Linked DNA regions of Oreochromis niloticus. The protein of the gene in region 2 interacts with the protein of the main gene of each other region in a biochemical or structural test. Links are inferred from orthologs where the notes say so. Each region holds a gene or a part of one and is shown on either strand. Other genes may lie near its edges. The genes, in order: gucy1a2, snta1, slc16a7 and potassium voltage-gated channel subfamily A member 1.

Evidence for each region.
Region 1: the proteins of snta1 (region 2) and gucy1a2 interact in a test that uses a peptide from one of them, tested with the Homo sapiens proteins (3 studies listed by BioGRID and IntAct, with this or other methods). The link is inferred for Oreochromis niloticus from reciprocal best matches to the Homo sapiens genes SNTA1 and GUCY1A2.
Region 3: the proteins of snta1 (region 2) and slc16a7 interact in a test that uses a peptide from one of them, tested with the Homo sapiens proteins (3 studies listed by BioGRID and IntAct, with this or other methods). The link is inferred for Oreochromis niloticus from reciprocal best matches to the Homo sapiens genes SNTA1 and SLC16A7.
Region 4: the proteins of snta1 (region 2) and potassium voltage-gated channel subfamily A member 1 interact in a test that uses a peptide from one of them, tested with the Homo sapiens proteins (2 studies listed by BioGRID and IntAct). The link is inferred for Oreochromis niloticus from reciprocal best matches to the Homo sapiens genes SNTA1 and KCNA5.

Annotation. Positions count from the first base shown.
Region 1 is NC_031979.2:18,036,544-18,044,127, forward strand, and holds the start of gucy1a2 (guanylate cyclase soluble subunit alpha-2), read right to left. Parts: upstream 3,021-7,584; 5' UTR 2,088-3,020; intron 1,999-2,087; 5' UTR 1,983-1,998; coding exon 1,665-1,982; intron 1-1,664. UniProt on the Homo sapiens protein: Has guanylyl cyclase on binding to the beta-1 subunit. Isoform 2 acts as a negative regulator of guanylyl cyclase activity as it forms non-functional heterodimers with the beta subunits.
Region 2 is NC_031970.2:7,142,747-7,150,758, reverse strand, and holds the start of snta1 (alpha-1-syntrophin), read left to right. Parts: upstream 1-4,978; 5' UTR 4,979-5,087; coding exon 5,088-5,370; intron 5,371-8,012. UniProt on the Homo sapiens protein: Adapter protein that binds to and probably organizes the subcellular localization of a variety of membrane proteins. May link various receptors to the actin cytoskeleton and the extracellular matrix via the dystrophin glycoprotein complex.
Region 3 is NC_031984.2:11,571,578-11,579,140, forward strand, and holds the start of slc16a7 (monocarboxylate transporter 2), read left to right. Parts: upstream 1-4,489; 5' UTR 4,490-4,643; intron 4,644-4,757; 5' UTR 4,758-4,771; coding exon 4,772-4,988; intron 4,989-5,138; coding exon 5,139-5,282; intron 5,283-6,059; coding exon 6,060-6,920; intron 6,921-7,042; coding exon 7,043-7,266; 3' UTR 7,267-7,563. Other genes in the region: uncharacterized protein At5g50100, chloroplastic, read right to left, coding at 102-296, 377-565, 1,956-2,084. UniProt on the Homo sapiens protein: Proton-coupled monocarboxylate symporter. Catalyzes the rapid transport across the plasma membrane of monocarboxylates such as L-lactate, pyruvate and ketone bodies, acetoacetate, beta-hydroxybutyrate and acetate.
Region 4 is NC_031981.2:22,387,342-22,395,337, forward strand, and holds the start of potassium voltage-gated channel subfamily A member 1, read left to right. Parts: upstream 1-4,977; 5' UTR 4,978-5,003; intron 5,004-7,306; 5' UTR 7,307-7,996. UniProt on the Homo sapiens protein: Voltage-gated potassium channel that mediates transmembrane potassium transport in excitable membranes. Forms tetrameric potassium-selective channels through which potassium ions pass in accordance with their electrochemical gradient.

The DNA.
Region 1 (7,584 bases), on a different chromosome or scaffold from region 2:
ATTCCATATTTTACACACAGTCTATGGAGTCAATATGGCACTCCATTTATCACTCCATCTTCTTTGGTTTATTCAAGTCACAGTCATGGGAGCACTGGAGCCGATCCCAGCTGTCATAGGGTGAGAGGCAAAGTAGACCCTGGACTGTCTCCGACCTGTCTCAAGTCTCAGCAGCACACTTTGTGGCTCAAAGTCTTCAGCTTGTGTCTGATTTACTTCCCACTCATGTTAAACCATGGCCAAACCATCACAAACTACTCAGGTTCATAATCTTTTAGATTTTCAGCATGAAACTGCAAAGTCACAAACCAATGACCAAATACTCAGGATAGATACATATTTCACTCACAACACAGCAAAAGGATTACTCTTGGGCTGATTTTGTAGTTTTCAGAGTTGGGCAATGTCTACTGAACTCCTTTATGACGACATTTACAGTAACAATAGTATTTTTAAATTATTTGTATGCTCCTAAACTAAAAGATGTTTTTACTGAAACACTGTGGCTAAATAAGCTTCCTTTATACTTGAGTAAATCAGGCAGAAGGAGACATTCACGACAGTCATCCTATTCCTTGAATTGTTTTATTCCCCAGTTTACTCGTAGCATGCACATTTTTCCAGTGCTTACAAATATCTCTGGGAAATATCTTCTCTGTCCAGACAGAAGTTTGGAGTAGGCGAGTTCTTAAAACCAGTTTTAAGGCAGCAAAAAGCAACATTATGGTGACATTGATAATATGCAAATACCTTAATATCATAAGTATTGGAGATTGTGGTATAATTTATTTAAAAGCTGATGTCCTCTCCCCAAATGGTACTTTTGTTTTGTCCACATCTTTGACATCTGTCTGTCCATCTGTTTACTTATTTTCTATTGTTGAGTAACTACAGAACAACAGATGCAATCAAATCCCGAACCGATGTACCATCGCGAGGGACAGTGCAATAGCAGATTCCCTAATAACACGCCATCCATCACAATCGCACTCAGTTCTAATAGCGGTTTTATTGTATTACAGCCTGTCACACAACTGAGACACGCAGACACAGCAGCAGGCTCATTCGCCACACTCCCCACATCCTCGCATACACACAGACGAGCCATGGGCATCGCTCTCTCTCTCTGTCTCTCTCTAACTCACAACAACATATTTATTATATAATCAGCCAGATGATTCAGGCTATCAGAGGTGAAGGATGAAAAGAGGCTTTTTTTCGTAGACAGCACAGCACACATCCTATCATGATGTAAGAAAAGACATTGTCTGGGTTTTTGGGAGTAACACACTAATGTGGAGAGGCTTGAATGTTGTTGTTGGGTTGTTTTTGTTCCTGAACTTTGGAGACATCTCTGAGCAGTGAAATAAATGCATCAGGATATTTGATCTTGCTGGTTTTTAAATTACAGGCTTCATCTTCAGGAGACCTGATTTGGTCAGTAATGGACCTAATAATATGACAAACAAGGCATTTCTAATGATTTTTAGAAGAATACTCTATCGTTTTCACAAATTCACACACACTTTAAGTCCCAGATGTGACCTATATTCTGACTGCAGGAGGCAAAATGCACTTAAAGCACCGCAACTTTCTTTAGAAACATGTTAAAGACAATTGATGAGGTCACGGTGAAGCTTTTTCACACTGGTTTGAAATCCTACCGTGGGTGAGGTCAGCCGCCTCAGGCTCTCCCCCAGCGAGTCGAGGTTCACCCTTCTCCTCCTGGTGACCCTCTTGTGGGGCCCGCCGGGTGCTTGCTCCTCACCTGCCGGGCACACGGTCCTTTCGGCGGGGCTGCGGCCGTTCCAGAGCACCGCTCTGTGGGAGGAGGGGAAGGAAGAGAAGGGGCACCCTCGGGTCTCCTCCGCCGGCTCCAACCCGCCGTCCCCTCCGTCTCCCCCGGGGCTTTCGAGCCCACAGTCCGAGCCCACCGAGCTGCTGAACGACTCGGAGGAGATCTTGCGCGACGACGAGGACATGGTGCTGGTTGTGCTGCTGAGAAGAAGAGGAGGAGGAGGAGGATGGTGATGATGATAACAGTGGCGGTGTTGAGGATGAGGATGATGCTACAGTCGGCTCCGTACCACGTCCACCTGTACACCGGGGAGTCATCAGATAGTGAGGGAGGGGGGGGGAGGAGGTGAGAGGGCTGGCTGGTTGAGAGGAAAGGCTTGTGTGTATGTGTGATTATGCGCGCATGCTGTGTCAGTGTGCGGGTGAGATAATGTCCAGTCCAGCCCGTGTCTGTGTATGCATATGAGACGCGTCTGCCTGCGTGTGAGACTCGGGGTAAGAGAGAGAGAGGAGGGGTTGAGGTCGACTGAGAGCGAGAGCACTAACGGCACGCAAACATTTATGAAGGGGGAGGGTATCACCTCTTTAAAACCGTCCTCCGTTACCCCCCTAAAAAACGTCCTTCTCGCCGCTCCCCCGGGTGGCCAAACACTCCAGCGGATGCTTCCGATTAAAAATGAGGAGCGGAAGAATTCATCACGCCCGGCAACAGTGTTTATTTTTAATAAAAGATGCAACTATTTTGAAGCATATGTCCCCCTAATTGCCGAAACTGCAGAGCATAACGCGCTGGTCCACCGATAATCCAAACACATGGTAATTATTCCTCTTGCACGCGGGAGATTTTAACTGCATCAGAAAAAAATGTAGCGTATCTCCCTTTTTTTTTCTCCTCACGCTGCCCAGAAATCCCCAAAGTCACCGCAGATGTGAGATGCGTCTGCTTCCCCCTCTCTCCTCCTCCTCCTGCTCTTAGTCCTCTGCGACAGAGGTTCTCTTGTCGGTCCTCCAGCAGCTAACCGCACTCCGGGCATTCCTCCATCTTTTTATTTCAGCTCTTTCACCGCAGCTCCTTGGCCCTTTTTTGTTGCTTTAAGAAGTGGCCGGAGTAGAGGTGAGCTAGAAAGGTAAAAGCGCGAGAGAGTGAGCGCGAGAGGTGAGCCAGCAGCAGCGGCACGCGCCAGCGGTGCTTCTAATCTGCGATGCACGCGCTGTGAAGTACGCGTCAACGCGCTACTCTGCGCTGGAAAACAAACCAGAGCCAATCGATAGACAGACGGAGTTGGGCAATGTCATAGTTTTTGTACTTTATTTTATTTTTGTATTACATTTTTTATTTATTATTATTTTTATTTATTGTTTATTATTATGTCTTTCGTATTAGGAATTACAGCCATTTTAATAGCCCCCCCCCAACAAAACACACACACACACACACTCACGCACACATTGGACAAAAGTAATTGGACAATAACAAACTGACACAACTGAAGAGCAGTTCACTAGTCAGTAGGTCGCTGGTTCGCTTCCTGACTGCTCCAGCCTTCATGGGATGTTAGATAGACGCACTGAAAACAGTGCTTGTGTGAAGGAGGTATGTTGTATAAAGTGCTCGGGAAAAGCGTTAAATGAAAAGGCGCCAAGTGAGGGCTGTTCCCTAAAATAGCTAGCAAAAGTAGCTCATAAGATTATAAAGGGACCTGGGCTTCCATTTCAGTGAGTGTGGGAAACACATCCCCCACGCAGGATTTCCTACCAATGCTTTGAATGGACCGGATAGTCTTCAATAAACTCTAAAAATTAAATAATACAGAATCAGTATTGATCATTTTTATCCAAGCACTGCCATTTTCACTTTCAATAAAATAGATTGAAATCACTATGGCTGTTGTGTTTTCAGATCTTAAGTAAAAAGTGTCATTACATTGCATGAAAGCAGATGATTTCTCCAAAAACAAAAAGCAAAAATACATGCTCTCTGAAACAGTAATTAAAGACGAATCATCTATTCACTCATTTCAAATAGGCTATTTATACATTCTCAATTGATCTGTAGTTCAAAATGTGTTGTAGACTCTACTATGATATGAATGCGTGTAATATGAACAGCATGTAAAGTATTAAAGACAGTCATTTTGTTTAAAATTATGTTAGTTTGTCTATTTACTTTTGAGCATCCGGAAAAGGGTGGAAACTATAAAAATGGTTGTAATTAGTACACAGTGAATGCAATACTTTTACATTAAATGAATTAAAGATGGAAGTCTCCATACTGTCATTTACATGGTTTTATAATTGTGAAATCTTGGCAGACAACAGTCTGCTCCTCAATTAACTAACAGGAAATGGCACTCGAGCAGCATCTGATTGTAATCAAACAACAGCCATGGTCAATAAGCCAGGTCCGTGGCAATGTGCCAGATATGTTCAACACGGGTTTACATGGACAAACATGGCTCTAAAGGGTGATAATGGAGCTCGCGGCGGTGGCACATGCTTGCTGTATCTGATCAGAGGACAGAATGACGCTCAGTCTGGCGCTAACAACAGTCACGACCTTGACCTCTATTAGCAGATCATGTTCATTAATGGCCCCAGTGGACCAATCAGAAAGACACTGAGTCAGACAGACATAGTGCATGTATGTGCTCACACACCCTAACACAATTTCCTGAAGGTGCGCACTAATTCATTTGACTTTCTGGAGCAGCATGACCCCAATCCACTGCATATCATTTTATTTTTTCTCTTCTCTCTAACTCACACCCACACACTTTCTCTTGTGCATAGACAACCCCACACACACACACGAATGCCTTCTTTTTCTTTCCTTATCTGTCTGCATCAGTCTGCCATCCATCAGTAATAATGTGGGCATTTAATAAAGCCAACACTACAATAGAATAAATGATGTTCCAAAGGAGATAAGCCTACTAGCTGAGAGACTGCCTTGAGCTGGCTGCCAGCCATCTAAAGCTAAGTACAGACAGGGCAACAGATCACTGACTGTGCTATCATGGAAGCAGAACAGATAGAAAGGGCAACTCTTGAAGTACTGTGGTAATCTTCTTCAATAGGCACATGTAACACGGATGCCATTAGACAATAGAAATGAAATAATGGATGAAGCAATCCAACCTTGAGTGTCCTTGGCACAGCTCCTCGCTTTTCCTACAGAATTAAAAATGGATTGATGGATGCACAGTATGTGTTTGCAATGGTGGATGGACGGACTGACAGATGAGGTCGGGCAGGAGTCTACATGGCATATGATGTGATCTGTGGTGAGAGCGGGGAGCAGGGGGAAGACAGTCTGGAGAGGTGGAGGTACGCACTGGAGAGAAGAGGAATGAAAATCAGTAGAAGTAAAACAGATTACATGTATGTGAATGAGAGGGAGACATGTGGAAAGGTGAGCATGCAAGGAGAAGAGGTAGTGAAGCTAGTGAGTTTCAATCTTCCAAAGGAACAGACAGTGCATAAGAGGGGTAAAGGCATGCAGGGCGGAGTGGGTGGAGAAGAGTGAATTTATGAAAATGACTAAAAAGCATCTTGTGATAATTTTTAAGGCAACAGCCAACCTGGAAAACAAATAGTTTTAACTCTTCATATGGGCGAAGTTACAAGTACATTAAAAATGCATAAATCTGAGTGACAGGATCTTAAAAGATGAAAGGGAAACCTTGCACCATGGTCCTTTCTACTCAGACCACATGTGTCTTCTGATTTGACCTCAACTACGATCCCTGGAAAGTTGTGCGTCTGTATCTTGCATGACTGATGAAATCTATCTGCAGAAAAGACAGAGGCAGAACTATAAACTGCCACAACGGCCCACTCAAAACCAGCTTTCCAGTAGTTTCTTCCACAGTAGTGCACACCAGCAGACTCAGAAGGTAAAAACAAATACCAGCCATACTGTCACACAATTTAACCAGTACAGTACAACACTGCACACACAGGTACATGAGGGTTAAAACATAAGAAAGAAATGAACTAGCATATTCTACATGCATAGTCACCTATCATCTGAGGTACAACCTAACATATTGACAGGGAATCTAAAACACACAGAGACACACACACACACACAGAATGAGAAGTATTAAAATCCATACTTGTGAAATGGAGCAAAAACCCACATATAGACAAAGCCACACAGGAAACAGCATCACTGAGTTTAAGCCAGTAGAAGATGAAATGTGTGTAGTTATGGAATGCATGAAGATAAGAAAGGTTCAGGCCCATGGCACACACCAGTGAGTCATGCCTTTAAGATCCTTTCGTTCTGCTGCGCGTGTCTGTAGCGGGCGCTGCTAAGCAGGCATGTCGGTTTCAATTTTGTGACGCAGAAGACATACACTCATATTATTGTCTTATCTCTCTGTCAAATATCTACCTCCTGTCTATACTGAGGCAGAGTGAGTGGGGGTGTAAATGAACCAAAAGCTACAGCAGATGCAATAGGATGGTGCCGGGGATTTGCAGAATAACAGGAGTCAGGCCAGCTGAGGCAGAGATGGGAGAAGACAAATGGCTGATTTGGTCATAAATCTGCCAGAAGCCAATCTAATTGGCCATAACCGCACATCACTCCACGCCACTCTGATGCTATTAACCGTGAAACTGTGCCTCTCTGACACATGCACAATATAAACAACCTGCTTTACTGGTCATGAGGATGGTTTTTTAATAAGTACAACCAGGGTTAAAGAGTAGGAAATTGCATAAAGGAGTATGTTATAGATTTAGCCAAATTTCCACGTAAATGATAGGAATGTGACCCGACCTTTGATTTCATGTATTAAGTGATGGCTTTGTTTTTCTTTTTGTCGGGTGCATCACGGTCATGGTGGCAAGTGCAGCATATTAATGCCAAAACAGATGCACATAGAAAAAACAATGAACAACACACAGATTATTGATCGCTCATAAAAACAATAATAACACATAACACTGCCTTTTCAGGGAAATGAAATTTTGTCAGTGCTCACACTACAAGTAAGGGGCAATCTCCCTGGTCTCATAACACACCTGATTTCTCTTAATAAAAGTGCAGTCCAGTGCCGTCTGAGGAGTATTTTAATAATGTTCCTTATTAAAGAAAGAGTCTCTTTTCTGGGTACCCACAGGTTAAAAATGTAAGGAAAAAAGAACTGGAGGGACTACAGTGAGGTACCCAGTCACTCTGTCCATCTGTATAAATGGACGGGTCCTTATATAGTGCTTTTCTATAATAATCTGTGACCATATACACAAATACTGCAAAATCAAATCTTCCTCTGTGTGATTCTTTGAAATTCAGCACTAATCAGATGTGCAGATGCACCAAACAGTATCTCAGATGAAACCAGAAAATAACAGGGGTCACTGAAGCAGCGAGCCAATAAGAAAGACAATATTCTAACCGAAAAACTGCCAAGGTTGCATGCTGGGGCAATGCTGCCCACTGCTCATGAGAGGCGTGTATCCACAACAGACTAGGTCTAAAGGTTGCAATGCTCTGACATATGAGTGTGTGTACACTTGCCTGTGTGGCTGTGATGACACAGAACCCTCTTTTAGAATTAAGTGACAGCTAGAAAGGATCATGAGACCACTGAGAAAGAAATTAAATCCCACGGCTGGGAAGCAGAGAAGGGCAGCATTGCAAGAGATGAGAATGGTGGGTATGGCATAGAGACAAGGGCTTTAATTTTATATCCACTGTACAATTAAAGGGCCAGGTTTTTGTGATGTTAAATAATCAGACCACAGTGAATCATTTCAAAGCTTTGCCCACCTTTA
Region 2 (8,012 bases):
ATGGTAGACCTCTGGAGCTGTTGCCCTTAGCAGAGTAGGGGAGGGAAGCAAAGATGCTTGGAGGATGGCAGGAGAAGGCAGAAGGATGCAGGGGGACGTTGAAACTAATCAGTAGGGCTCCCCAACTGTCCACTGTCTTTGGGGAGTTGAGATATGCATATATGTGACTGACTGAACTAAGGGTGTAGAGAAGATAAGTTGGGGGGTTGTAGTCTGTTTGTCTGTTTGAGTGTGTGTACATCCATCCATTCATTTTCTTAACCGTTTATCCAACTATGGACATGGGAAGGGGGCTGCATTCTGTCCCAGCTGGCGTTGGGTAAGAGGCAGAGTACCCCCTTTAGGGGTTATAAGTTATGTGGAAATAATGCTTTAAGTTCTTAATTTGATTTCATTTATTTAACATAAATACAATACATATTCTAGTGTTTTAAGCAATTATCAAATTGAAATATATAAAAAATAATAGATAAAAATAATGATCTAGCAATTTTCACATGTGTTCTGTATATACAAATTGTGTTTTTACTTTGTTGTCATTATTATTCAAAAGTATTTTCTTATTACTTAAACAACAACAAGAGATACAATAGTAGTCTGATGTTGTTGAGAAGTGCTATAGGGTCATGTGAGTTGTCTTCAGCATAGCAGAAAACCAGTCTGCCTTGACTTAGACAGAAATGATGTTTATAGATTGTTAACATGTTAAACTTTTATTCAACTTACATTTAGTCATATATATTTATATAATAGTTCTTTTTTATTAAATTATGTTAGCGAAGATAAAATTAAATACATGGTCAACTTTTGTTTTTTAATGTATCATATAGTCATTTTAAGCATTTAAATAAGGTTTTTTAATATTTAAATGAAAATCTTGTATTTTATATCCTTTATTCGATCATTCTTGATTTTTACATGCAAGCCCAATATAACTGCACTGCTATTAGGTTGATCAGCAATGACATATATTCATGCAACGCACTCTGTTAGTGCAAATCATCATTCACCATTTTGGTTGTTTTTCCTGTACACTACAGAAAACAGATTTAATTTCAGGTCCTTGACTTCTTGCTGACTTAAGCTCTAGTGTAATTTGACGGTGCTCAGTATTGGTTAAATCCTGCAAGGACAATGGTGAAATATGATGTCATCCTACACTACTGTAAATGCAAGCACACTTGCAAACAAGTCACTACTTTAATGTGCACAGTTTCAATACTATATATGACTAGATCCACTCCAAACAATGCAACCAGTTTTGTGTTTTGTGTGTGAGAGATCCTTACAAATCCTGCTCTTCCATTCAGCTAAGCTTTGCAAATATATTAAGCTGTGCTACTGTGAAAGAAAGGCTGGCCTCCTGCCACTCACATCCCAAATAGACCAACAGATGCATAGACTGGGGGTCAGATGGTCAAACACTTGTCATAATGCTAAACATCACCATGTAGACCCACTTCTTAAGTCAAGCACTGTTGTTGAAGTCTCCCATTCATTTTTGCTGTGCTATTTATATGTGTGCTTCTATACATGTGCTAATTAGTACAAGGAAGTATCCTTTTCTAAACAAAAGTGTGGACAAAGGAGGATAAGGTTTATGGGTGGAATGAGAAAATGTGACAATAAACTTCACATAAATCATTTGTTTCATTAATTATGTTAAATGTAGCAATGGTAACTGAACCTCAAACCACACTGGCTGTATATAAAAGATGGGTACCCAGCTGTTGGTGGACTATATCATTTAGGGACCTTGGGTTGTTTAAAAACAACAACAACAAAAAATGCAAACAAGGAAACAACACTTTTAGACAAGAGCTCAAAGGTGGGTAATTTTTAGCTAATGCCAGCACCAACTAGTTTGGTTAGGCAGGTGGATCTGTAATTCATTGTGATTTTGAATGGGCTGCTAATTTTAGATATTGAAAAACAGGTTTAAAATATACTTACTGGAGAAACTGAATAGCCATTTCCTTTAGGCGACATGTTTATTGTTTTGGGGTTTTTCCGCCTTCTAGAACAGGAAGATTGGGATGACAGTCTTACATACCCTGCACACATGAGCTGGAACAGAACCAAACCCAGGCCTCTGAGCTGAGGGTAGACTTTTCTACATGGGGTACACACTCTGACAGGTGAGCTACAGGTGCTGTTCTTTTGTGCGCCGGTAGGTTGAACAGAACAGGACACTGCCGCTTGGCTACAACAAGCTCCGATACTAATATGTTCACATTGTACACTTGCCACAGAGTGGTTTCATCATAGTTGTGTCTTTTTTATTTTAAAACAGTTGCTTGCTGTTGCTGAAAACAACAGGGTTGATGTGAAAGCTGAGTTTGTATCACTTATTTGGAAGCACAGGAATCATCTGACTTCACTTTAAATTTGAAAATCCACATTTTTAACTGCAAGACTGTGTTCCCCATCACATCTATATAATATTAATGGTCACTATGCCAATAAAAACAAGCTCCATCTTGTATGTTGATAAACAGTATAATTATTGTATCTTTAGTATTTCCAAGTAAACCCTTTGTCTTTACTTTAAAGTGTCACCCTGGGCAACTGAAATGTCCAAATAATACTTGTGATTGGGCTGCACAGCTGGGGTCCAATATTTGTTTATATTGTCAAAATCTCTTCTTTTTTTTGCTCTTTGAGTACCATGTGCCTACAAATCCATGAATACTAATAGACATATGGTTGGATATGAGCTAAATAATCAAAGGGTATGTAATCCTGGGACAGGCTGTGGTTGTTTAATATCAGTTAATGACACAGTAATTGCATTTTAACCTTATACATATGGCCTATACTTTATAACTGCAAAATGTTTTTTCTTTAACAAGACTAGCAAAAAGTCAGAAATAGTTTCTCTTAATTCAGCTGTTTTTACTGTTTACTTATTTCTATCACAGTGAAAACCTCATCACATAACAATCAAAAGATGTTCCTAGATTTTTTTTTAAAGTACTGTATATGACATGTAGGAAATCTTTGTTATTTAAACAGATTAGGTACTAGTCAAATGTTTTCCAGTGTAGAGGTAATAGAGCCCTTTAATCACTAGAGGGAGACAAAAGATTTGAATCTAGGCTTTGGAATTCCCTGTTGAATATTTAGTGTGAAGCTGATCCATGGTCTATGACTTAAAAAACAAGTTGTTAGAAATAAAGTTGTTACATCAATATTCACTACAGTAAACATGAACCAATTAGAATAAAGTAAGCGTTGATATTTGAGTTGATTAGCTACTTTAGAATGATAAAGAAATGTTGTTGACAGATGAGCATATTTAGAGCATCTGAATGGGTTTAGAGCAATTTTCAGTCAAAGCTCCAAACTTGTTTTCATTAAGGGAGCAACTGCCTCTCAACAGCCCACCCAGAAGAGTGTTTTCCAACCCTGAGTGCTGGGACTTCTTTGCTATTTCACCTGCTGTGAAGCAGATGCAACACAGGCTGCCACACACACAGCTGAAGGGCTGACAGATACCTTGCCGATGCAACAGAGCATAGGAAATGAGGACTGCTTCATCAGCTTGTTTCAGTGACTCCTGCATGATCTTAATGTCTATGCTGCACAATTAAGTGCACCTCTGCTGAGTCACCACAACAGTGCAGTACTTATCCATGTTGAGTTTCTGTCAAGACCGAGACTGAACGGCTTGGCTTATTACTCCTGAAATCATGGCATATTAGGAAATAATTCAAAATAGTTATTGCATGTTTTTTTTTCACATTTTTCATTAAATATTTACGACTGACTACTAAATGAAAAAAGTGATAGCCAGAGTAGCAGATTTCTGCAAATTGCAACAGAAATTGAAAGAACTGCTTAACAGTTTGAACTGAAGAAATAAGGAAGGAAATAAAATAAAAATGAAGAATAATTTAGTTTGAACTGGAAATTTAAACTGGAAAATTCTGGACTGAATATAATTGTAACTTGGGGTAAGAATGAAAAGAACTGAAATTCCACTTACTGGCACTAATCTTCAGCATACGCAGGACTGTGTTTTTGGTTTTTAATGGAAACACCATGAGTTTGCATTTTTGGCAGTAGCCCCGGTGGAATCAGTTTACTAATCTAAACCACGATTCTACCTTCTATCTGCTGAAATTTTCAAACACAAACAACAAATTTTTCACGTATTTTTTAAGCCCATTTCTTCACTGCCATGGAATTCCCAGTCTGGGAGATGAGGTCGTTTGGTCTTGGTCTGTATCCAGCATTGATTCATCCTTTGCGATGCTCAAACACCTCATTTGGTACCTACTGGAGAAGAGCTTTGGGGTAATCATGCTTTGTACAACATCATATTGGTCACGTGTCTGCTTTTAACAACATTTTATTGGATACTGATCAGCTTTAACTATGCCCCAGCTGCTGCAACAGGGCATCAGTGTCATGGTACTGATGGGCATTTATGGCCTCTTTCAGTGCCTGTTGTCCTGAAACCCATTTTGAATAAAAGCCAATAAATATCATTGTTCTGATTAACGTGCAGGCTTCTTCATGGTAACATCACACCCACTGTTTTCTGTCAGCAGAATTCAAGCCGAAGATGCTTAGTGGGTGTCATTCCCGATATAAGCTCTCTTCACTAAAAATGCATTTCTGGCCTTGAAAGCATGTCGATGTTGTTTTCCTTATTGCAGAACTTATGCATATATACATATATATATATGCGCAGTGATTTTGCGCGTTTTGGGCACACTGGAAATGAGATCTGTGATGTGAGGCTGGGTGTTGAAATACACTCGAAATAAATAAATAAATAAATGAATGAATCAAAACTTAATTATGCGTGACTCAACCTCACATTGGTGATTAACGGATGGGCTGAACAAGAAGCTCTTTGAACTTTGAGTGTGTGTCAACACCGTTGCTAATCGCATCGCCCTCGATTAACTTTACTTAGCCTACTACTGGATAAACCTCTTTTGGAGGAGGAGAAAATAGAGGGAGGGAGGGAGGGAGGGGGGCTCAATGTGTGTGTCTGCATGCCCCCTACCACAGCCCTCTACCCCCTCTTACAGGACTGCCAGCCCGTCTAGAGTTATTCCAGGAATGCGTTGAACATGGCTGCCGCGACGAAGGCGCAGAAAACGGGACTGCTGGAACTTCGAGTGACCGTGGACCGCTGGATCCGGGTACTGGCTACACTTACCGAAGATAGTCTCACGTTAAACCCCGGTGAGGGCACCGAAGAACCCGCGAAGCCAAACCCGAGTCCCGCTGGTGCTATTAACGGAGACCCCCCGAACCTCAGCTCGTCCCCGGTCCCGGAAACCATCACCAACGTGAAGCGCACGGTGCGAGTTACCAAGCAAGATGTTGGCGGGCTCGGAATCAGTATCAAAGGTAAGGTAGTTTACGAAAGTATCTTAAAGATAGCTAACTGCATGAACGGCGAGTTACTGTCAGTTAACACAAGTTTTGACTACAGCGTACCTTCTGTCACCGACCACGAAAACAGCGGCCAGTTAACTTGGCTAACTTCAAAAATGTGCAACAATTCTCAGAAACGTGCGTAAAATGCAACTTTTCCGCGATTTGCTCTATGACAAATATCCGTTCGTGTTATAACTCACACGTTTAGGTCCGATGTTAGCGCAGAAAAACGACAGCTGTGATTTTCTCAAGCTGTTTCTCTGCTCAACAGGGAACCATTTCAGTGCACCACAGTCACCGGAGACGGTAATTAGTTCGCTACTGTCATGTAACGTTGGGTTCCACCGTGTGCCCCCAAACAAACACAAAAAATAAACACTAGTTTAAATAATTTAGATAACTGAATTCAGAGAAATCAGGAAATGGCACGTGATTCTGTTTAACTCGATTTGGGTTTTAAAAAGTTTCCACAAATCCCCGAATACTTTCCGTAGATGCTTATTACCCAGCAGTGTCGACACCAGCAGTTCATTTAAACATATTTATTTATGGACTACAGACACCAAACAAAGCAGGTTTTAAACCTGAATATTATGCGTTATCAACCAACATTATTAGTTTTATTAGATCTAACTTCTGATTATGAAGCTGTAACACCAATAAAAATATGTGACAGAGTTAAATCCCGGCTCTACAGAGTATTTTAGGTGGTTCAAAGACCTTTTTGGCTGTTGAACTTTGCCTTTGAATGAGCAAACGGGAGTAGACATGGACACAGAGACCTCTACTACACATAGTGGCCACAAGAATATTGTTTCTACAGGGACTTCTCAATGAAGAAAGGTTGTAATCTCTCCATATCTTACCAGCCAAGCCTGCATACCTGCCGTGTGTTTTGCAGCAGCTGATAAAAGACTTTTCCTTGTCCTGCTTCCACGAAAATAGCCTATCTCTGTGGGGATCTCAAACTGAAGATGACTAGGAAGGTTGAGCAGTGGTGCTATGTAAATATAAAAGATAAAACGGACAGGAATGTGATAACAAAGTTTTAGGAATGTTTTGGATTTTATTATATTTTATAGACGGACAAATATCACAGCTTTTGTTCTTGAAATTTAGTAGTGACTGATAGATTTACACTTTTTCTTTTTACACAGCTTGCTTTGTGTCTTTATATTGTCTTTATAATTGAATCTAGAATATGGTCATTTTCATATTCTTGCCACACACAGTGGGGTTCCGCCTCCTTGGCTTTAACTAGAATTGCTTGAGGTTATTGTGGTGAACTTATGATTCTGTTGTGCAACTTAAATAAACACTGTTTGAATTTTTAATAAACAACTGACACAGAAAGATTTGTTGCAGACTGATGTATTTTATACTGTGTTTCTTATTTTGCTTGGGTTGTGATAAATGCAAATGCAGACCCCACAATTCTCGCCTAAAAAGTCAGCTTTTTAAATTCAGATTTTCCTGGTGGGTTGTAAATATGTACTGGAAGAGTTTTCCTAGAATTACATATAAAAATAAAAATCTAATTAGGTTTCTTGCACAGTCTCAATAAATCTCATTATATTTTTAATCATAACCCCTGTGTGATGACATGTATCATATCAATGAATTATTGTCAGTTCACAACCCTAAGTCACCTTGTGTTGTAAAGCATGGACTGCCAAGGCAGTAAAAGGTGTAATAAATAACAGGCATGGATCTATAAGCAGCATGTGTGGGTATAATTGCATGTGTGTGAGCTGTAGTTTCCTCCTGGCAAGTTTGTCTTCCCAGGTAATCACTTGGCGATTGGTTGATGCACAGTGTCGATTTGATAGATAATTGTAAACTTGCATTATTGTCATGTTGCAAAGATGGCTCATCATTGTAGCTGCTGGTGACATCTTAATTTTTAGTCCCCCCCCCCCCCGCAATTCCCACCAACGACAAAACAAAGCCAAGCCCTAATGACATAATTGTGATGTCCATCTGTGGAAATGGGTGGGTTTGAAAATCAGACAGCATGTTATTAAAACCAAATCATAGCTAGAAGCCTTTTGGCTTGACATTGTTGTGATGCTGGATGTTCAGAGGCAGTTTTGGGAGGAAGGGTGTACAAGATTGAAAGTGAAAGGTGCAGGCAGAAAGAGCAGGCCAAACAAGAAATGGTATATGGGACAAGAGGTCAAAGAGGTCAAAAGAGTAAAAAGAAAAAAGAAGCAGGAAGAAAAAAGTGTCAGAAACGCAGCGGGAAACAAATGAAAGAACAGAGAAAAACTTGTATGCTAGTTGACACCGCATTGCGAACAGCTGAGAGAAGCAGCTCACAGCAGTCAGTTGTCATTGGCTAAAGATGAAAGCTATGTGGCTGGGAGTGGAGTACTCCACTAGTGTTAATTTTAGGGAGCCCACCCCAGCTTGAGGAAGAGTACGGAGGCAACTTTAACTCACATGTCTAAATTTAAGAGGGGAGGCATGGAATCTAGACTCCAGGTCTCTGGACAGGCCGAATGGTAAAAGTTTGCGTGTCTCTGCAGACATTTTTCCTTCTTCGGAGCCACTGAGGTGCACGGTCTGTGCATATAACCACAATGACAGTCAGAGGGATTGCTACTTTGAGA
Region 3 (7,563 bases), on a different chromosome or scaffold from region 2:
TAAATTACTTTAGGTGAACTACATAACCAACATAACCATTTTTTTCATTTTTTTTGCAGTTCTTCATGTATTTACAGTACTTATAAAACAGTGCTGGAGCATCAGGGTATTTTCTTTTCACAGCGTCCTGTGGTGCACTCCTCTCCACGTCCGGTCCACTTTAGGCGGTTCCTGGCAAAGATGTCATAGGATTTGTCCATAAATGGTCTCACAGGTGACCACATCATAAAGCGACCCAACCAGCCAAGGCCTACGGCACTATACATGACTGCAAATGCTGGGACTCCGCTGTGAACCTGCCAACACACAGCATGAAGGTGCATAATACCACACTTATGTTGAACTCCATATTTAAATCAGGAGCTTGAGAGTTTACCTTGTCTTTCTTATCAATCACGTGCATTTCCTTCATGGCCATCTCATAGGTGATATCCTTGTATTTTGTTCCATCATAACCTGGCAGAGAGATATCAATGAAATGTACTTTCTCAGGCTGGTTTCTCTGCAGAAACTGGAGGAAACGGATCTCAGTCACGCATATTGGACAAAGCCCATCATACAGAACCTGGAAAAGAGTGGAGAGCAGACATTTACATGAGGAACTGTCTGATATTTTATCCCTAATTTTCTATAATTAGTTAAACTTGAAGGATATAAATCCTGTTAGGAGGCATAAACCATTGTGGATTCATTTAACCTTTGGTGCTTTGGTGCAAATGAAAGTACAACAGTTGCATTGGAGAAGCAGGAAAATGGTGAGACCGTTGCTCTCCCCATATCGCTCCCGACTGATATTTCTCTTTCCTTTTTGCTAGTTTCCTTGTCTCTACTGGTAGCGTTAGATGGTACTTGCAGCCCATTCAGGTTGCACAGGTAGTTCCATATACTAACATGCCATCACAAGATGGTTTACAGTCTCAGCACAGGAGTGTGGAGGACATACAGGAGACGAGCTGTTACACAAGAAGAGCTGGAGAGGGTTGCACAAGGGCATCAACGCAGCAGCAGGACAGATAACTGCTCCTTTTTTCGAGGAGGAACAGAGCCCTTGAGAATGACCTACTTGTGCCAGCTTTTCATCAAACTGTAAGAAGAACCAGACTCCACGTGCATGACATGAGGGCCTGACCTTGCAGCTCAACTGACGTTTACCAAAGAACACCAGGACGGGCAGGTCCACCGCTGGACCCCATTCTCTTCACAAATAAATGCAGGTTCACACTGAACACATGTGGCTGACATGAGAAATCATAATCTTTTTTCAAAAAGACATGTTAACCTTGAATAGATTACCTCATTAACAGTCTAACATTACATCAAAGATCCTGAATAATTTGAATTTAGCCCAGGAAAACTTTCATGAACTAAAAATTGAGTTGCGTATTGCCACAGCGTTGTCTTAAGTTTCGGTTTGTTTGTTTTTAAAGCCCTCTCAGATTATTATTTTATTATTATCATCATCATGTATTATTCTCAGAGACGAATTCCTCCTTCACATCGGAATTATTTGCGATAATTAAGGATATAGCTTGACCTCTACTGGATATGATAGCACTGAGAATTTGATTCATATTTGAGGTTTTAAAAACCAAAATATTCAAGACACATTAAAATATGACAACGTTCAAAGTGCAACTTTAATTTTGCTCAGTTGGCACAGATACTGCCACACAGTGAGGACAAGGTCAAAAGCAAGTCTTACATTTGGAGTTTTACACATGTAAAATAAGTTTTATGAAATCGTAAGCCTGGTTTTATATCACTGGATCTTGCGCAATGCAAGCATAATGCTGCTAAACTGGAGACATTTCAACCAGTGACGCGGGTTACTTTACAGGGTTTACGTATTAACCAGTATATTATCCTAAAACTGTTTACCCGTTTTACAGCCCGCTAACTAAAACTTTAAAGCCATGTAGTTTAGCAGAAACAGAGAGACAGTGGGAGCAGCTCACCCTGACACCAGACTCAGAACTGAAGGTGCGATGCTGATGTTTGCAGAGCACAGATGTTACTCTTGAATTTACACAACTGGGCAATCTGGCTAAACCCGAAGTCAGACATGTTCTCACTTTTGAAAACATCTGAAGCTACAAATGGCTACACAGCTCTAACTTCGAATCAACCTGACTTTTCCCCAGCTAACAACCGTATTATACAAGCGTTTGAATAACTCTTGAATAACTTCTTCTTCCCCCTTTGAGGCAATCTAGGGTTTGTTTTATTATCGCCATCTAGTGGACTGGAGTGCGAGAAGTGCAGCCACGTATATGAACCTGAACATTTCCATGTTCTCTGACTTACGTATACAAACAGAAATGCTGAGTATTTATTTACATTCCCATATTCAATATTCCAAGACCGAAAAAGGTCACGATTTTTTTATTTTTTATTTTTACACATATCTAATCAGCCAATTGAACAGGCTTCAGAACTGGGGAAAAAAGATTTTAGTGAGCAGGTATCCAGATGGCTGGTCTGAAACTGCTTGGATCACACAACCATGAAGAGAATGGTCAAAAAAAGAGAAATATCCAGTGAGCACCAGTTTTCCGAGTGAAAACTTGATTGATGAAGTTGAAGCCAGAGCTGCTTTGAGCCAAAATGAAGCATTTCAAATAACCACTGATTACTACCAAGGCATGGAGAAGAGCATGTCTAAATGCTCGACATGTTAAAGCTTGAAGCAGATGGGTTAGAGCTGCAGATGACCACACTTGGTGCCAGTTGTGAGAGATAAGTACAGGAAAGGGATGCTACAGTTTGAACAACTTTACCAAACTTGACACTCTTTGAGACCTTTAGTGCCAACTGAGCAAACTGGTTTCTCTGGCACAGTCTCCAGATCTCAAGCCAACAGAGCATATTTGGGATGCGGTAGAACCGGAGATTCACATCATGTTTGTGCAACATTATATCTGCTGCAACTGTGTGATGCTATCATATGTTTATACACTAAAATCTACACTAAAAAGAATGTTTCCAGCACCTTGCTGATGTATGATCTATGCACGCAGTTCTGTAAGAAAAAAGTGGTCCAACTCAGGCGTACCTAATGAAGTGGCTAGTGAGGATATGTCAACTGTTTAATTTCCTTAAATTCTAATCCATAAATTGTAATTATTATCCTCTCAGTTGCATTTTATGTAGTGTTTGTTGTATTTCTTTCAAAACATGCGGTTTGCAGTCTGAATAGCTGATTAATGAGGAGGTTGAATTGGAGCACATTATCGCTCAGCGTCTAGACATCTTTAAGTAACTCATGAAAGAAAAAAAACAACAGAGCTCACAGCACCTCTAAAAGATAAACCAATAATTCATAACTGGTTAATTTGCTAATTTCGATACTAAAAGCTGGAAATTTGAATAGAATACTAAGGTTGCGAGATTAGTTCTTAGAAGCAAATACACATTTAAAAAAAGCTGTATTTTTTCTGCACAGATCTAATTTGTCTGTGGACGTAAAATATTGTGAGATCTGCAGTAGGGTCAAGAATTATTCCATAACAAGCCTTAAGTACATATAATAATATTTTGTTGGAAAAAATACAGTACTGTGTTTCATAGCCCATATTTTAAGATCCCTAAACATCTATAATGCACACTTATGAGTGTTTATTTTCTCCTGTAATTTCTCACAAAGCCCTTTTCAGATTTTTTTTCAATTTTTTCAAGAGAGCTGAAGCATAAAAACTAGGGATTGTGTGCTAAGCTAAAAGAGTATCCAGTGACTACATCATTTTAAACAACTCATAATTTTAAGAAAAATAAAATAGAGACCAATTATTTCCAGCATTTACATTCAGCAACCACATGGCCTAACACTGCTGACATTGAATTTGTAGCCAGAACTCTGTTTTTCACCACATGTACAAAACACAGTTTTTCAGTTAATTAACTTTTACTTAATCAAAGCGTATGGACAAACCATAAAATTAAGACAGCCTTCCTAATATTGTATAAGTCCCTCCCACACGTACTGTAAAAACAGCTCTGACCTCAACTTAGGTCAGGTGATCTAGTTAGATTGGCACCAAGTTGTTGGTTGTGTTCTAAGCATTTTTTTTTCAGTTAGCCCTGCTGAGGGTGACCCCTGCCATCGGGGGGTGCCATTGTATTGGGGGCATGCTCTTGGTAGCCAGTCTATGCCAAAAGTGACATCAAAACATAAATCCCAGCTTTCCCAAAGGTTTCCCAAAAGAGCATGACGCACAAACAAGATAATCATTAATCAATTAATCACTCAGTTGTTAAACATTGTGGGCGATCAGTATTTATCACGACTATATTTTAGTCATTTTGACCAACCGACCCGCAATACACAAACACACAGGAGTAGACAAACACTGCCTACATGAGTTCAAAGGGCCTCAGCAGTAAAACTGAATGTATGTCTATGAAAGGGTAAAATGTTAAAAGAAACAGATTTTAGGAGTTGAATTACACTTCCTAGAAGCTTTATTGTCATCAATATCTAGTGCTGGGTTATTGCTCTATTTTGTATGGCCACTCATATTTTTCATGACAGCACACGTGATGAGATCAAAGACCTTACAGCAGGGTGAACTCTGTCCCTGTGCAAGACTGTGGCATATGGACTGAGTTCATAGGCTGGGCGATACAGTTTCAAGGACTGGGCAGAGGTGAGGTCTTGTGAAATTTATATGTGATGCAAAATATGTGAATCTAACTCTTTCTTTGAAAAGTTGCACTTGTTTATTTTCTGTTCACTTATTTTTGCTGTTCCCACTTTCCAGCCGGCGAATTGAACATGCCCCCCGCAGCAGTAACCAATCTAGGCTACACCCCACCAGACGGAGGCTGGGGCTGGGCTGTCGTCTTCGGCGCTTTCATCTCCATAGGATTCTCGTATGCCTTTCCCAAGTCCCTCACCATCTATTTCAAGGAGATTCAGGAATATTTTTCAGTTTCCTACAGTGAGATTGCCTGGGTGTCCTCAGTCATGCTTGCTTCTATGTATGCAGGAGGTTAGTGGCCGTCATACTTCAAGTATTGACAAATGTATTAAAAAAAATTGGCACATTCCCAAGCAGCGTATCCCATGACCGGATTTGTCAAGCAAATTTTGTCCCTCAGAACGTTACCAAAAATGTAAGATATTTCTCTCCTGTGTGCAGGCCCTGTCAGCAGTGTACTGGTCAATCGCTATGGCAGCAGACGTGTGGTTATAGTTGGCGGGGTCATGGTTTGCACTGGCATGGCTCTTGCTTCTCTTGGCACTAATATAATACATCTGTATCTCTGTGTTGGAGTAATTGGAGGTAAATTATGTTTCCTTTTTTTGTTAACAGTCAGATAGGCTAGTCCAACAATTAAATGAACTACCCTTTAAAATAATTCACTTTCTTAAAGTGCACATGTTCAATTCAATTTTGTGTTATTTTTCTGGTATGGCTGTTGCTGTCCTTTATAATGTTTGCTTTATGACACCTGGTTGTAACTGGACTACACTGAAGGAAGGAGTGGTTGTGTTGTAACTCTCATTCAGTTTTTTACTATCAGGATCAACCCACAGGGATTGTTTATGTCCCTGTGTAAAGCAAGGGTTGGTCGTTCAGTGCAACGAGTACAATGACCCTTATGATATAATATAATATAAGTTATAATCCCTTCTTAAAGCGGCAACATCAATGCAATGTTTAGATTTGGGTGAAACCTTTTCTTAATGTCCTGTTAACCCAGGTGCATTTAGAACATCCACACATGCACATGTGCAGGCAAGACCACATGATCATTTTACTAACTGAGAGCAAACAAACCTCTCAGACTTTAAACCTAATCTTTAATCTAGTAGCGCTGCACCAGCCAGAGAAGTACAGAAAAGAAATGTCCATACCATGGGACTAGTTATATATATGTATATTTTTCTGTAAACAAATCATCACCGATATAAAACTAATGTCACAGATAATAATAAGAAGTGCATTCAACTGACTAAAAGTACTTTTTAACTGATACTTTAGACACTTTATTTAAAATATTCTAAAGGGAATAAATTCATAAACTACTGTGTGTAATTTTATCCTAATTTCTAACAGGTTTTGGTCTCGCGTTCAACTTGCAGCCCTCCCTGACGATCATAGGCACTTACTTCCAGGTCAAAAGGCCTCTTGCCAATGGACTCGCTATGACTGGAAGTCCAGTTATTCTCTCAACTCTGGCTCCTCTCAATCAGTTTCTGTTTGATTCTTTTGGTTGGAGGGGGAGCTTCCTCATCCTGGGATCCATTGTTTTGAACTGCTGTGTAGCTGGTGCTTTGATGAGACCAGTCAACAAAAGCATACAACGGAAAACAATAGATGAGTCATCAAAGTGTGAAAATGAAGCTGAGGAACACGCTGCTGCTGAAGACACCAGTACCCACTCTGATAACCTTCAGACTGAAGATCAAAGTGAGAGCAAGGGTCACAGCTTTGTGCAGAAATTCATAGATGTCTCACTTTTCAGACACAGGGGCTTCCTCATTTATCTAATTGGTAATGTGGTCATGTTTTTTGGCTTTTTTGCACCTGTGGTTTTCATGGCTCCATATGCCAAACATCAAGGGATTGATGAATATTCAGCAGCTTTCCTGCTCTCCATTTTTGCTCTGGCGGACATGTTCGTTAGACCGACAACTGGCTTCGTGGGCAACACCAAGTGGATTAGGCCAAGAATACAGTATTTTTTCAGTTTTGCTGTTTCATACAATGGCATATGTCACCTAATGTGCCCACTGGCATCTGGCTATACAGGCCTAGTTGTATATGCTGTCTTCTTTGGTTTGGCATTTGGGATGCTTTCTGCACTCCTTTTTGAAGTTCTAATGGACCTTGTTGGAGCTCCTCGTTTCTCCACTGCTGTTGGACTTGTCACCATTATTGAGTGTGGGCCAGTGCTTCTGGGACCTCCAATGTCAGGTTTGTGGTGTTTTTTTTTTCTTTCTTTTTTTCATTGAATTGTGATTTTGATTATACACATAAGCAAAGTATAGAAATTTCCAAGATGGAGTTACTAACAGATTATGTGTGTTCTCTTTCAGGAGCTTTGGTTGATTATTTTGGTGATTACAAATATATGTATTATGCATGCGGTGTATTCATGCTGGTTTCTGGCATATTTTTCTTCATTATGCATTACTACAACTATAAAAAACTGGATGAGGAGCACAGGAAGAGCAAAGCAATGGAGACAAGAAATTCTGACGAGGCAGTAGAACTAAAAACGAACCAGGATGATAGAACGATGAATGAAACAGATGAATGAACTTGATGACTATGACTTTATTTCAGTGGATGCATACAAAATGACATTGCAAAGGCTTTTTATGCAGTATGTTAATGTATTTTATACCTTAAATGACTTAGAGTAGTTAGACTTTTAAATACTTGCAGATTCACATTTGTTATTTTGTAAATTCTCATATTATGTATATTATTATTATTACAGTGTGTGACATATGTAACTCTGAGGATTTGTTAATAAATTACAAGGAACTACCTCTGTTCTAGTGCAATCCATATGGCTTTATAAACTTAAGCAGTTCATTTGGTTTCTTCATCA
Region 4 (7,996 bases), on a different chromosome or scaffold from region 2:
GCTTCTGCCTCCTCCTCAGGACTTTACATCCAATAGCCCCTCCACGTTGGTGTGTGTGTGTTTGTTTGGTTTGTTTTGTGTGTGTGTGTGTGTGTGTGTGTGTGTATGTGAGAGAGAGAGAGAGAGAGCAGAAGACTTAAATCCTTTTTTTAAAATGCTTTTCACTCTTAATACCCTCGCCTGAGAGAGAGAGAGAGAGAGAAGATGAGTGATATTCACTCAGAACAGGAGGGGTGGTGGTAATGGGGGTGGGGGGCTTATGGACAGCTGTCAATTAAAAAACCCTCTACACAATCAGTTTTCTATCCCTTCCATCACACCGATCCATCTCAGGTGGCGTCCCACCCTTCTCCTCCCTCCTCTCCTCCCTTATCCCTCCTCCCTCTTCTCCTCCCTCCTCTCTTCTCTCCTCCCTGCTCTTCCCTTATGACTCTGATGTCTGTGGAGAGCAGCAGAGGTTGTTGTTATTATTTCTCTGAGGCTGTAATCCCCTCTCTTCCCCCCTGCAGCCTCTGTTGAGTTATTGTAGATTTGACTGTGTGTGTGCGTGTGTGTGTGTGTGTGTGGTTAATATCCTGTGTAGGCTGCTGTGAACAAGCACAGATTTTCTTTTTGTGATCTGCTTCCCCGAGGGCCTTTGAACACATGCAGACACATTGAGGTGGGTGGGATGGAGGAGGGGAGGCCCTCACCCTGTGTGTGTGTCTGTGTGTGTGTGTATGATGGGGTTTACCCAGGGTGCACGTTAAAGCTGGAGGTGCAATACGTGACCAGTGGAGACTGATGATTGGCCCACAGCTCCTCCAGTCGCAGTCACCTTTTTCCATTCCATACAGATATATATATATATGTAGATAGATAGATATTAGTGCTGACAAAAGTCATTAGTGCTGACAGCACTAATATATATTTCCTGTAATTAATCTGTAAACAAACACTGATTGTTTCTGTCTTGGTTTTGGGGTGTTTGATGATTTTTCCCAAACTGAGCTGAATTCCTAAACAAATGTTCAGTACTTTAACTCCAACATTATTTACTTCTCCATGATTAAAGTGTTAGCACTTTACGAGCTTTGAGTGGAACGATTCCTGCAGGAAAATCCCTCGAGGTTTCAGGTATGAATCCAGAACCAGGTGCAAGAGAAGAAAAGAAACCCTGATGTGAACCACTGACCTGTGAGCAGCAGGAATGCTCGGCAGCTTTTAAATGTTAAAAATTAGTATCACGGGAGCTCTTGGTTTTTAAAGCATTGAGCATGAAAGTGTCCTCTAATTATGTTTATCAAGCTAATATTTGTTTAAAGCTTAGCTGATTGTGGAGTTTAAAGCTTTGAGTTTTCTTGAAGCAAACCAGCAGACCAAACAAAGTTTTTCAGCCCAGCAAGACATTTCTGCTCAAATGGAGAAAAGAAGTGAAGCAGAGGTAAGGGCTGATCTTCATCATCATCATCATCATCATCAGTGCGCCTGCAGCCTCGCCAGGTAAATATCCAGCAGCCCTTTCTGTGCAAGCCGGTGTGCTGAGAGAACATCACATCACGCCTCAGCGTCAGCTTGCATCACAAATGCAAAACAACACGCTCCTCCTCGCTCTGCTGCAGCATCCTCTGTCCACTCCAGCTCAGCGCTGTGATGTGTACTCTCATGCCTTAGCACGCAAACCGGTCCTCACAGAGACAGAAGTACAAGCGTGCACACACACACAGACACACACACAGGAGGAGGCAGATAGATAGGAATCCATTTTAAATTGCTGCCATGTTGACGCTGATGGTCAGTTTTCCTGCAAGAATGATCTCAGACTGAATTTCAGACCACAATGCAGAGCATCCTGAAGGACCTGGACTCCAGATTCCAGGATTCCAGGACTCCAGCACTGTTTTAATGAGCTACATCGTCAGCCTGAATAAACGCTTTGCCTGTTTGGGCTGAAGCTGAACTTGGCCTCCTCCTACACATCAGCATCTGCTCACAGGCTTGCTGACAAATCTCACCAAACCAATCACACTAACAAATGCTGCCTCGACCTCCACCAAGCACTCACACACACACAGCTCTTTAAATCCCTGCTCGGCTATATTTCTCAGCACCGATTTCCAAATCCATTTAGCAGCATCTGCAGCCTTTTCTGCACATAATCTGCGTGCGCGCTCTAAGCCGCCACAGAAACTGTTACTTTAAATGAGTGGCACGCATGACGTGGTGTCCTTGATTTTCCTGCTTGCACATGTCCTCTCTCTGCGTTATTATGCAGGCATCTGCTGTCAAGACTTCTTAAACTCATCACAGTGCTCCCCCCTCCACGCCACTCTCTGCATGCAGCCCTGAGCCTAAACACACTCACATATATTTAACACACACGCATGCGAGCACTCCGTGTGAGACGTGCGCACACACACGCACACACACACAGATGTGGTGATGTGAGGTTGGTGACGCTCCCTCAGGTGTTGCAGAGTCTGACTCAGGCCTACTGTCATCCCAGCAGTGCTGCTCGTCTCCACACGGGCACTGAATCTGACGTTTCTCTGCTACTGTACCCACACACACACACACACACACACACACACACACACACACACACACACACACACGGTTACGTGTCTGGAAGAACCCACGCAGATAAATGTTTCTGGAAGAACGCAGAACTTTGCTGCTGTTGTGCTCTGAGCTGTTTCTCATGTTTTAGACCCAGTTTTGTGTGTTTCTTTGTCATCATCGTCCTTATCCACATGTTTGTGTCCTTGTCTCCTGGTTTCCATTTCCTGTCTTTCTTGCCTGTCGCCTCTGATTCACTGATTGTTCCCACATCTTTCTCATTCTTCCTTCAGCCCAATGGAGGAGTCGAGGAGAGGAACTGAGGAGGCACAATCTGAGAAATAAGAAGGGGAGTAGTTTTGTGTTTTTCCTTCATCATTTTCTCTGTTTATGCTCATCACCGTCCTCAGGTGTTCCTCCGTTCAAAGTTTTTCTCTGGCTTGTTTTGTTGATGCTCTGCATGCTTTTGTGTCCTCTCTGTGACCTTCATTTCTTTGTCAGGGGGACAGAAAGTACTTTGATGACTGGCACCAATCAGACGGACAATCCACCCTGCCCTGCAACAAACCAAAGAACAGTATTCATATGAACACACGATAACGTGATAACAGAGACAGCATCAGAGAGCTGCAGCTGTAGATATAAGCAGGTGTTATCTGCTGTTCATAGGCTGGAGGGTGAATCATCCAGCTGTGCTCCGGCATTTATTTGGGGTGTTTTCATCCCTTTTGTGTCCTTTTTGTTTCATAATGCTCGAGTTGATTGTTTCTTTTGTTGCCTTTATTTGATAACAGAACAGTGAAGACAGGCAGGAAAGTGAGTGCAGGTCAGACTCAAACCCAAGCTGCCACACTCCAATCATGTGGCTTATGGTCACCTGTTCACCGCTGAGCTTTTCTCATTTCTTCAGCACTGTCGTCATCTCTTTTATTGTGATGGGTTTGTTATCTCTCAGTCCTCTTATTAAATAACTGGACAAAGTTAAATTGTTTGCAAGTTTGTTGGTTTTTTGTTGTCTGTCTGCTGTAGCATTATTTTAGCTAAGGCTGGTCAGTCTTCCAGGTGTGGACCTAACCACAGATGCCAGAGAGTAAGAATACTGTGTGCTGATCGGAGGAGGCAGGAACTTATAACCAAGAGGAACCAAAGTCCTAGGTGAGGTGTTTCAGGCACTGGGAGGAGACGCTGGAGCAGACCCAGGACATGGTGATTTGATCTGGGATAGGAACTAGAGCAGCCTGTTCGATGGGCTGGACATGGAACCCCAAATTGTTCCTGATGGGTTCATTGGAGTGAATGTAAGATAGAAACTACTCTGGCTGCTGAAGCAGAGCAGAAAATGACAGCTAAATAACAACCAGTCCTTTAGGTCCTTTAGGAAGGCCTCAGTGTCTCCCAGAGGAGACTCTTCTTCTCCAATGACCGGAGCAGACGAAGTGTCCGAAAGAAGATGGAACCAAACTGAACACACAACAAGCTGCTCAGAGCCTCTGGATCCTTGTAACACTTACTGATCTTTAAACAGATGAAAAACTGGTGCTTCTCTGCTGCTTTAACCACACACACTGATTTCTTCTGTTTGACTTCTGTTCCACTCACACAAACCCAGTTCCACAAGCAGACAGTGGATCAAGCATCACATCTGTTGCTTTAAATTTCCAGCTGTGAGTCTCATTCGTGGTCTCCAGTAGTGCTCCCCCTCGGTTCACCCTCCGCCTGAGAAATATTCTAGAGTTTGATACAATCATCATGTGATTTAGATGAGCGAATCTTATCCTGTATTTAAAAGTAGAGATGCTTGTCTCTGTGCTTCTTCTGTGTTTAAATGAGAACTTCTTTGTTGTGTAGCTGACCTGCAGACCTGATGCGTGTCTGCAGTTTTTTTAGAAGCTGTGTTGTTGTTATCAGCTGCAGCAGTGGCTCTGAACTGTGTCTCTGTAATTAGAGAGCTAATTTGTGAGCTGCCGTTGTTATGGATGCTGGTTGTTAGTGGTTACCTGTTGTTATGGTTACCGTTTCCCTGTGTAGCTGGTAACAGGACCTGAAGTACCGCAGAGTGGGACTCAGCTCCAACTCCTACACATGTTCATCAGGATGGCTGAGGTTTGGGACATTCTGTGACTGAACCTCCGTCAGTAACACAGCGGGATGCTTTCAACTCGGAGTTCAGAGTTTGCACACCTCAGGCCTTAAAAACAGTCATTTGGTTTTTTGGAATTGGAATGGAAATGGAAATGAGGATGAAAAAAAATCTGCTGTAAAATACATAATCAGTTCAGTTGTTTGTTTGTTTTTTCAATTTAAGCTAATACTACAAAATAAAAAGTTTATATAACTACATAAATCCGCTCTCCTTCCACTGCCCTGAAGGAACAGTCACTGATCACAGTCACGTGCAGGAGCTGTTTGTGTGATGGGGTTTTTTATTCAGCACCTGAAATCTGTCAGCAGCTGCTGCCAGAAAGGTTTGTACCTTCATGTCCGTCACAGGATGATTCCTGCACACTTCCTTCAGAACATCTTCATGTTTTGCGGGTGCTTTGCCAAATTGAGCAGACCCGGCTAAGTCCAGCCTGTGCCGGTTTGGTTTTTCACAGAGACATTCATATTGGCTCATACACAACTGAGTAAAGCACAGGACAGAAAACCGGTTGGATATTTTGATTTCAGTGACCTCGGGCTCAGGGTGGAGTTTGTTGTGCTGATATAGTTATTTATGTGTTTTTTCTTTTGATGTGTCTTTACACGCCTGCAGCCTGGTCTTAACATTTTCACATGTATATAAAATTATGCTTAAAGGTCAGCTCGTGGAGGCATAACATTCAAACCTGAGGTGCAGAATTTGTTATGTTCATCGTGTCAGGATATAAGGTTGGACCAAGAGCTTTTCAGATGTAAACACAACCACTCCAGTGTTTGTATATTCTTTATGTAGCACTTGTGAATGCACCTGCTGCCATGACCACCGGTCTTAAGAGAAGATTTCTCATAATAATAGAACACCGTTTGACTTTAAAGCCCTCCTTCCCTCTGGGACTGTGAAACCTGCAGATCTGTATCAGACACATGTGAACATCACATTAGAATGCAGCAAAATAATCTCTCATCTCTGTGCTAATCATCTGCTCTTTTTTCATGTCCCTGTTTGTTTCTGCTTCTCCTCCTCCCCCCCGATTTTATACCTCACAGCATCCAGCTACAGTTTCATGTTTTTGGAGCGCCCGCATGACAAACATGATAAAGTTTATTGTAAAAACCTCCTAATGGCTGTATCCAGTGCGTGAAATCGCTGCGTTGCCAGTGGCCAGTCACACAGTGGGATGGGTGATGGTGGGTTATTATTCATGGCTGCAGGAGTCTGAGAACAGTGCATTAATCCAGGGGCGGGGAGATGCACAAAGTTCTTATCATGATGAGGCTGTGGCATTAGATAAGGAAACGGATAAATATAGTGCTCCTGCTTTGTTTTGCTAATCCACCCACAGGGCTGAGAAACTAACCTTTTAAATAGGTCGCCCTCCTCTGCTTTTAGAAACAAGCGCTCTGGCTCTCTGTGTCCACCGGCGTGCATCTGCGTGTCCTTTGTAGCATTTTGGATGTTCAGTCGGTGCACTCTGGACGGAACTTGGTTAAAGATCTTACATTAGAGGTGAGGTAGCAGGAGTGGTCTCAGTGGTGATGCTTCTTAAACCCAGGAATAACTAGGAATTGCAGTTTGTATTCTTCTTATTTTATTATTATTTGTTTTTTGTTATTAATTTCAACCATAAACAGCACCGGAGCGTTGATCGCACCCTGACAGTACAATCAAGAATCCTCAGTCTAATCACGCCTGCATACTATCACTCATAAAAAAAACCCCATACCAATTATATTTGAACAAAAGCAGTAGGATAACGTCAGACACAGTTTTCTGTTTTTTTTTGGTTGATTTAAACGACCCTGCACAATAACTGGCCTGGCTCTGCTGGAGGTTTCTTCTTGTTAAAAGGGACTTTTTCCTTCCCACTGTCGCCAAAGTGCTTGCTCACAGGGGGTCATATGATTGCTGGGTTTTTCTCTGTATGTATTATTGTAGGGTCTACCTTACAATATAAAGCACCTGGAGGTGACTGTTTTGATTTGGTGCTGTATAAATAAAATTGAATTGAATTGAACTGAACTGAACTGAACTAAGTCTGTGCTGCCTTGATTGGAAACACTGCTTAGATGTTGTGCTGCGTATAGGTTTTTTATACTATAAGAGCCAGAAATCAACACCTGTGTCTGAAGAATGGAGCTGATTTTCCTTTTGGGGTGTTTGTAATGAATAATCTGACCAATAATATGGCTGCTGTCAGGTTTTTGTACTAGCACAACACTGAGCAGTGACTGAAGTTCTCTTGACTTCAACAGCAAGATACTGAAAAGCACAAGAAACAAAATATTCAAACTTATCATGAATTTTTCATAAAACCAACAAAAATAATGAGAACAGACACAAAAAGATGATTAAATGCAGAATAAACTCCACAGAACACAGAAACAAGGATCCTTCATGATTACAGCAAAAACAGAAAATGATGCTCCAGCTTGTTGCTGGTTAATGATTACAGTGTTGACATAAAGACTCACATGGCTGCATGAGATCCAAACATGATAGTACAAGAACTCACTTCAACCATAAACTAACAGCTGACCAGCAGCGGTGGGCTGATGGGGATGTGTCTTTATGTGCAGACAAACATGAGCTTGTGTTCTAAAGAAAAGCTGTATCCATCTCCCTCAGAGCCAGCAGGATGAGGCAGAGTGTGGCCCCAGGGCCGAGCCAGCAGCAGCAGAGCAGCAGAGAACATGAGCATAAAGGAAACAAAGAGGCGCGCATGAAAGCCGCGAGTCCATGGATGCCATCATGTGGAAAGCAGGCCTTTATGCTCACACTGTAAGGAGATGGATGTGTGCGCAATAAGGAGATCTGAAAGCTTGCACACGTGTGCTGCTGTGGCAGTAAAACACACAAAGGAAGGTCTGATGTTGTGTAAGGAGTGAAAATAAAAACAAAATCACAGAAAGAAATCACCACATGACCTCACAGCATCTCAGTTTATTCTGTTTTTCATCTATCTGAACTCTGAAGCATCAATTTGTGTCCACAAACACCAGCGAGGTCATCTGAGGTTGTGTTAGTCAATGATAATCCTCACTCCTGTTAGGGGTTATATACAGACACCAAAACAGCTTCTGCATCAGCCTGTCAGTATGTTTATGTTAACAGGACTTTGTGAGGACTGACTCACCACTGGTGCCTCTGGTGGCCGGCAGAGGAACAGCAGCTTGTGGTTTCAGATGGAATTTTATGGTCGCTGTCCTCCGCAAACAGTCGGGCTTCAGGCCTGAGTGTGCAGGCAGGTTGGGCTGTCTCTTTATTAGGAACCAATGCAAGGAGATCAGAGAGGGCTGACAGGGAGAGGTCAGAGTG